Macaca mulatta: one gene and its partner. The main gene of each other region encodes a partner of the protein of the gene in region 2 in a complex. Links are inferred from orthologs where the notes say so. Each region holds a gene or a part of one and is shown on either strand. Other genes may lie near its edges.

Evidence for each region.
Region 1: the proteins of CSF1R (region 2) and CSF1 are in contact, whole or in part, in a crystal structure (PDB 3EJJ), measured with the Mus musculus proteins. The link is inferred for Macaca mulatta from reciprocal best matches to the Homo sapiens genes CSF1R and CSF1. Residues at the interface, in NP_001032948.2 of Mus musculus: Arg142, Arg146, Leu149, Arg150, Lys151, Lys168, Val169, Leu170, Ser172, Asn173, Val231, Gly232, Phe233, Leu248, Ser250, Asp251, Phe252, Asp254, Asn255, Tyr257, Lys259; in NP_001107002.1 of Mus musculus: His38, His41, Met42, Gly44, Asn45, Gly46, His47, Phe87, Gln90, Asp91, Asp94, Arg98, Asp101, Glu110, Arg111, Gln113, Glu114, Leu115, Asn117.

Annotation. Positions count from the first base shown.
Region 1 is NC_133406.1:130,283,887-130,287,694, forward strand, and holds part of CSF1 (macrophage colony-stimulating factor 1), read right to left. Parts: intron 3,240-3,808; coding exon 3,117-3,239; intron 1,875-3,116; coding exon 1,812-1,874; intron 213-1,811; coding exon 42-212; intron 1-41. UniProt on the Homo sapiens protein: Cytokine that plays an essential role in the regulation of survival, proliferation and differentiation of hematopoietic precursor cells, especially mononuclear phagocytes, such as macrophages and monocytes.
Region 2 is NC_133411.1:159,021,434-159,025,341, forward strand, and holds the end of CSF1R (macrophage colony-stimulating factor 1 receptor), read right to left. Parts: intron 3,532-3,908; coding exon 3,409-3,531; intron 3,328-3,408; coding exon 3,216-3,327; intron 2,538-3,215; coding exon 2,438-2,537; intron 1,631-2,437; coding exon 1,522-1,630; intron 1,425-1,521; coding exon 1,257-1,424; 3' UTR 464-1,256; downstream 1-463. UniProt on the Homo sapiens protein: Tyrosine-protein kinase that acts as a cell-surface receptor for CSF1 and IL34 and plays an essential role in the regulation of survival, proliferation and differentiation of hematopoietic precursor cells, especially mononuclear phagocytes, such as macrophages and monocytes.

The DNA of each region.
Region 1 (3,808 bases), on a different chromosome or scaffold from region 2:
CTCTGCCCTCACTCAGTGCTCCCGGCCTCAGGGCTTCCTACCTTGTCATGCTCTTCATAATCCTTGGTGAAGCAGCTCTTCAGCCTCAAAGAGAGTTCCTGCAGCTGCACAATGGCGATGGCATTGGGGGTGTTGTCTCTGAAGCGCATGGTGTCCTCCATTATGTCTTGTACCAGGAGAAATGCCTTCTTAAGGTAGCACACCGGATCTTTCTGAAAAAACAGGAACCTGAGGCTTATAGCCTGGCCATTGTGGCCTGGGAACCCCCAACCCCAGGCAGATGGAGGGTTGCAGCTTGCTCTCCCCCTTCCCCCAGGGGAGGGACCACACCATGCCAGCAACGAGGAGAAAGCTGCCCTCAGCTTGCCTGTCTTTCTCTCTCTTTGGGATCTAGCACTATTGGAGACTGGGTTAGAGTGAAGGAAATGTGGATTCTGATTAGAGAGTTCTCTGGGTTTCTGGAATATGAGGTTTTAATCAGGATGGATGTACATAGGGAAGGTGGGCTCCAGGGAACCTCCCCCTGCCTTTCTTTCTGTCTTCCTCTTGGCTTCCTTTCACAAAAATCTTTTACCATATGGCCCCTTCAAATCCTCCAGGATATAGGGGGGGTGAAGACTATCTCATGGTACAAAGGATAACCTCTGTGTTTTGTCTCCCTAAAGAGATGGTAGTTGCCTTGAAGACCCACTCTGCTTTAGCTCCCTACCCCCAGCATCTAGTCCAGTAGGTTCCTAGCAAATGCTAGTTCAGGCATGAATGCTAGAGCAAGCGAGTGAGTGAGGCTATAAAATACTGAGGCTATTCTTTGGACCATGAGGTGGTCTCCAGTACTAACAGAGGTGCATATGGGTCTGGTGTGTGGAAGCTCAGAGACAGGGGCAACTTCTGGATACCATGGCAGTTTTGCATGAGGCATAAAGATGAACAGATGTGGAATAGTGACTGGGGGAGCAGGTGGAAAGGCATGACAGTCATTGGGAAGAGCTTGTGCAAAGATGGGAGGCAGGAAGGAGCAGGGAATGGAGAGGCGGTGTACAGGTTTATGTGGTGGAGAATGGCTAGACCTGGTGTAACCCAGGCTAGACAACCTTGGCTTTCTTCTGGAGTGATGGGGCCCCTGATGGTTTTGGGAGAGTGAGGTAAAGGCAGCAGGTTGGCGTTTCAGAAAATTCCCCCTAGTGGTAAGATGAAGAGTGAACTAAAAGCAGGGAGACCAGTTAGGAGGCTCCTGAAATTGTCCAAGCAACTGATTGAGGGGTGAAGGTAGGGATGGAGGAGACAGAACCCAGAGATGCTGAGAGGCAGAACCAGCAGCACTTGGTGGCTTGCTGGGTGTGGGGCAAGTCCAGGAAGGGCTGGACTGCCTCCCTGCCTGCTGGTTGGCCTAGTGAAAAGAAGTGACATCCTTAAGCGAAGCATGTGACCTGGAAGAAGTATTGATTTGCCTCAAGCCCTACAACCAACCTTCCTGGATTCAAATCAGGCCTCTACCACCTACTAGCTATGCTCCTTTCACCTCTCTGTGGATAATAAACAGTATTTGTGTACCACATAGTGGTACTGTCAGAACTAAATTAGCAAAGTGCTTGGTACCTAGTGAGCGTTTGTTATGTATCAAGCCAGGAGAAGGGAATGGCAGGGGACTTGAGCCCTGGATACTGGCACCCCAGAGTTGAGCACCCGTGGATCCTCACACTCTCAACCTTTCCAGCTGTAGGCATTCTGCTGCCTTCATGTTCCCACACACACCCCACCCTGGGAGTTGCATGCAGACTGGTACATGGATTTTGTAAACAGCTATCACTCACCAACTGTTCCTGGTCTACAAACTCAAAGGTAATTTGGCACGAGGTCTCCATCTGACTGTCAATCTGTAAGAGAGAGCAGGCCAATGATTGCAGGGCAACCTACAGCTCAACTCAGCCTTCTTCAGAACGGGGACCTTAACTTCTGAATACATTGGGGTTTGAACTTCATCCCTGCCAACCACATGTGGAAAGACAGTCAAGTCTAGGAGAAGATCAGTGCCTTCCATATGCCCAGGGGAAGGCTGTAGAAGAACAAGTCTTTTCCTTCCATCTGCCACCCCAGGAAATCTGACAAATGCCCATTTGTTTTAAGAAAGAAATGTCTATAGGAGAATATAGGATATAATCTTCCCTGGGAGGTAGTGAGCACCCTGTCATGGCAGGAATTCAAGCAGAGGCTGGACAAGCTCTGGGGACTGAACATCTGTAGGCGTTGGAGCTGGATGCCCTTAAAGCCCTCTTTAGCCCCAGAGCAGCAGTTCTGGGTTTTAAGCCTCAGAGAATGCTGGGGCTCTTGGTCTACCTTGGATTGCTACAGCAACTACATGCAGGAGAAGTAGCGCTAGGGCAAGAGAGGTGGAAGGCATAGCCCACAGGCCCCAAGCTCAGGGCCCTGGAGCTGGCCTTAGCCAGTGAGGCCCCACCCTGCCTAGCTGGCCAGAGGGATGGTAAATTCCCAGTGAGCAGGACGGCAGCCATGACAGCAACCTGATTCTGCCTGGGTGGACCACGTATGGGCCTGATTAGAATGAGATACGGGCTCCTTCATGGCCTAGACGAGCAGGCCATCCCAGCCTCAGGGTATGGGCAAGAGCCAGGGAAGTGAGGGTGGAAGGCTGGGAGTTAAGTGAGCACTTCCCCTCCAAATCTGGGTGGGGCTCTGATGCCAGACTGGCGCCACACATGAGAGTCCAGGAGCTAGACGCAACATCTGGACACAGCAGGCTGCCTGGGCTAGCTTCCCAGAGGAGGCATCCCACTGAGGGACAGCAGACCTCAGAAGCCTTTTCAGAATTAGTGGTTGATATTCCTGGGCAATCACTAACCCAGGCAAGCAGCTGGAAGCCCACCCCATCCACTGCCTGCAGGGGAGTCAGAGAGGGCTTCAGAGCTGGGGAGACCAGAGGTCCTAACTTTGGGAAGGCTAGTGAAGGACATCACTGGTGGAGCTAGTGGGAACCACAAGCAATGTCCTGCACTGCCCTATTTTCCTGCCTGCAACTGCTCTCTTTGACCTGCTCCCTGGCTCCTGCCTCCATTTCCCCAGTGGAGAGAAGGTAGAATACAGCATGGCCACGCACTCACCAGCCGCTGCAGAGACTGCAGGTGTCCACTCCCAATCATGTGGCTACAGTACTCCGACACCTCCTCGGTGATACTCCTGCTCGCCAGGAGACAGACCAACAACAGCAGGGAGCCCAGCCATGTCTGTGACAGAGAGGGTGTCATTTCTCCCCAGCCCTCACTCTCCCCAGTTATCCCCATGCCCTGCTCACAGCAGAAAAACAAAGGCCTCAAACCTACAATGCTACAGGCTCTGCCCCTTACCTCAGGATACAGCATCCCTCAAATCCAGCTTTCCCAGGATTTCTAGCAGCCACAGCACAACCTTGTTCTACCATGAAAACAACCCAAATGTCACCTACAAGAAGCCTTCCCAGATTAAGCCAAACCTAACTACACATTGAACTAATAGTGACACAGATGGTGTGCCTACCAGTCTAAATTTTAATGACACAGGAAACTCGAGGGCAGGACTTGCATCTACCCATTTTTTCTGTCTCTGTAACATCAACACTGAGCCAAGCACTTTTTGAACTGCCCTCAAGTTCACGTTCATGCACCGGCTTTCAGATGGCAAGCCAGAGACACCTCCCCTGGGCCCAGCACTTCCTCCCACCTGGTTCAATGCAGATCTGGCTCTGCCACTGGAAAGACTGTGGGATCAAACTCAGTTTCACTGGAACTCATCCCTTGCCAGAGACCTCTTGGAGCCC
Region 2 (3,908 bases):
GAGGAAGAGCATCCCCTTCCTCCTTTCCCTGGCCACTGCTGCTGCAGCCAACATCCTCTCTGGGCCTGGGACCCTCTCCACAGACAGGATGTGGTCCCTGGCCATGACATAACCTGGCAGCAGTAGGAAAAACTCCCTTCTGTGAAGGGGAAGCAGACTGGGCCATAAGGAAACAGCAGGACTGGCTCAAGTGCCCAGGGTTTGTTTAGGGCCTGGGAATTGGCCATGTGTTAATTTATTGAGAGGAGTGGAGTAGGTGGCTTTTTTTCCCCCTCCTTCTCTCTTCCCCCAACAAGAATAAAGTTTATTAAATTATCTGGTTTTGGTGAAGCAGGAGTCAATTCCGTGCACAGTGTGGTCAAGCGCCACAGACATGAGCTCGTCACTGCATGTGAAGGCGGGAGGGAAAGAAGTTCCAGGGAATTTGCAGGCGCTCATATGGCACAAAGAACCAGAGGCTGACTGCATTAATGCTGTTAGTTTAATGTGGGCAGAGACATCCCGCGGCGTGACTGTTAGTGAGGATGAGTCAGCTTGGGGGAGTTTGTGCTTCCTGCTTGGTGTGGCCAGCCACATGCCAAGGTCCCCTGCCTTCTAGCCCAGAATGACAGGGGACTGGGCAGAACACCCCCAACTTTTAGCTGCCACTTGGCTCATCACAGCAGTACCAGTGCTGGGGTAGGAGGGGTAGGGCTGTGGAGTGAAGAAGGCTTGTAGGGCAGAGACTAAGAGGTCCTGTGAGATTCTTAGAGGAGCCATCCTGCTCCAAGGGGCCTGAGCTGAGTGTAGTCTGTGAGCATCTGCTGCTCTTGCTGCGCCTCTCGGAGAGGAAGAGCTCAACTCTTTGCCAGTCTGTCTAGCCCCAAGGAGCCTGGTTTTCTCAGTAGCAGTGTAGCTCCTGGGGACTTCACAGGCATAAAGTCAGTCCACTTCCATTAAGAGAAGAATATTAGGAAAGGAGATGTGGAACATCTACCAGTTGGCATAGCAAACACGAGGCCAACACCATGAGAACGGTAGGGGAGAGGGGGTGAGGGCTCAGCCCCCAGCCCCTGACTGGCAGTGATGGCCCACGCTCAGGGAGTGGGATCCTCAGACCTCCCCTGGATCCCTCACCTTCCCAAGTTTCAGCGCTGGGCCAAGCTGTTGAGTGAAATGACCGAAGGCAGAGTTTGTGTGTTCTCCCCACGTCACCCCGTCCGTGGAGAAGTTGAAGCTTGCAGGAGGGGAGAGTGGTGCTCCCTGTCGTCGGCTCCTCAGCAGAACTGATAGTTGTTGGGCTGCAGCAAGGGCTGGGCGATATCCCCTTGCTCGCAGCAGGCCAGGTGCTCACTAGAGCTCTCCTCCTCCGGCTCACTGCTGCTGCTGCTGCTGCCGCTACCGCTACCACCGCTTCTGCTGCTGCTTGGCAGATTGGTATAGTCCTGAGGGTGGGAGAGACCAGAGACTGTCAGTCCAGATCCATCAGGCCCAGCCCAACCTGCTTTACCGGCCACCCACCCCAAGCCTCACCCCACTCACCCGCTCTCTCCTGTCCTCTTGGGCTTGCTCCTGAAGGAGGGAGCAGATCTGCTGGAAAGTGGGTCTGTGGGTGGGCTCCAAGGCCCAGCAGGCCTGCATGATGCTGTATCTGGAGATAGGACAGAGGATGCCCATGTGCAGCTCTCTAGGGTCCGGGGTCGTTAACACACACCCCTAGGGAGACCTACCCAGCAGAGGTCCCCAAACCCAGTCAAAAGTAATTTTAGTATAAAACCTGTGCCAGGTCCTTGGCATGCTTTACCATTTAATCCTCACAGTAACCCTTGCAGAAGGGTACTCTCATCACCCTCATTTTGACAGATGAGGCCCTTTTGGTATCCTCAGGGTCACTGTAATAACAGTCTCTTAAAAGTCCGAGTTTAGGGACAGGTACAGTGGCTCATGCCTATAATCCCAACACTTTGGGAGGTTGATGCAGGAGGATTACATGAGGCTAGGAGTTCAAGACCAGCCTGGACAACATAATGAGATCCCATCTCTACTAAAAATTTTTTTTAAATAGCTGGGCTTAGTGGTGCACACCTGTAGCCCCAGCTGCTTGGGAGGCTGAGGCCAAAGGATTGCTTGAGCCCTGAAGATTGAAGCTGCAGTGAGCTATGATCGTACACACCACTGCACTCCAGCCTAGGCTACGAGCAAGATGTCTCAAAAAAAAAAAAAAAAAAAAAAAAGAAAAAGAAAAGTGGTCATTTCGGACCAGCCCTAACAGACAGCTGCTTCTCTGAGAACATCGCTCATACCTTGAACTCAGAAGGGGCTTGTGCCCACTGTGGGAGAGAGAAAGCCTGACCCTGGAACATTTTGGACAGGGAAAGATCAGGGCCACACGGCCTTCCATCCCGTTCCAGTGAAAGCCTGGGGTGTCCTTTTCCCTCCCTGGGATCCCTTCGCTTACATATTCTTTGGGGCAAATGCAGGCTGGGCCATTTGGTATCCATCCTTCACCAGTTTATAGAACTTGCTGTTCACCAGGATGCCAGGGTAGGGATTCAGCCCTGCAAAGGCCGAGATCAGGTAAGAGGCCATGCCTGTTGTCCTCTCCCCGTTCCCGCACACCCACACACATCTTAGACTGGGTTTGAGGGGTCCTACTTGACAACACTGCAACAGCAGCTGCTCTTATCCACTGTGTGGCAGGCTTAGGCTTTAGGAACGTGTGAGCCTCCAGCCAGGCCTTATCACGCCAAACAAGAATTCTTGCACAGGCTTTGGGATCAGTAAAACCAAAGCTTCAGTTGTGTATCGTTAAAGTGGGGACAGTCGGGTGGTTATGAGGGTGCTGGAGCAGGGTATTTAAGAACTGGGGACAAGTCCTTGTGCCTAGTCCTCAGGAAATGGGAGTTCTTTCTACTAGAGCCTAGTAGTAGAGAGCTGCATCTTCAAGGGTCTGTAGATTTCAGGCAAAGGAGGGAAACAGTGACAAAGGAGGGTAACAGGTAGCAGCAACTGAGCAGAGACAAATGAGGGAAGAGCCAGAAAGGAGCGCCTGTCAGGGGCAGGGGGTCTGCCCCGCCCTGCAGAAACCGCAATGCTGGGTTTAAACGGAGACCCTTGCCCATTCCTGCACTCTCACAATCCTTGTTGTGTCCTGGGCACCAAACATCTTTGTCCACCAGTGGGGCAACCAGAGGAGCCAGCCCTAGGCTCTGCCTGGAGTGGGCCCAGTGGCTCACCAAGTGAGAAGATCTCCCAGAGGAGGATGCCATAGGACCAGACGTCGCTCTGAACCGTGTAGACACAGTCAAAGATGCTCTCTGGGGCCATCCACTTCACAGGCAGGCGGGCCTGGGATAACAGTCCCCAGTTATTTTGGGCCCTGACTCTTCACCCCCTCCTCAGCCTGGCCCAAGCCCTCCCAGCACTTACATTGCCCTTGACGATGTAGTTGGAGTCATTCATGATGTCCCTAGCCAGCCCGAAGTCCCCAATCTTGGCCACATGCCCATTGGTCAACAGCACATTTCGCGCTGCCACATCCCGGTGGATGCACTGAGGGAAAGCACTGCAGGGTTAGTCTTGGGCCGTCTCCTACCTTAACCTGAGGTGAGGAGGATGGCAGGGAGGGCCCCAGATGGCTTTGGGGTCCCTGTTGGAATAGACATCAGTTTTGGTCCTTTACCATAAACCCTTGTCTATACCTTCTACCAGGGCCCAGGATCTAAGAACGTGTAGCATGGTCTGATCATTTAATGCTTAGAAACCGCCATTACCCTGAGCAGCCATGGCCCTTCTCGCGCTTTGTCCTCTGAGTGGTCCGCTCAGGCCCCAGAAGCAGAGGGCTTCTGTGCAGAGCAGTAGTCTCCAAACCCTACCATTATTTCTGATCATAGCAGCTGCTGTCTGCCAGGCCCTTCCCTAAACTCTGC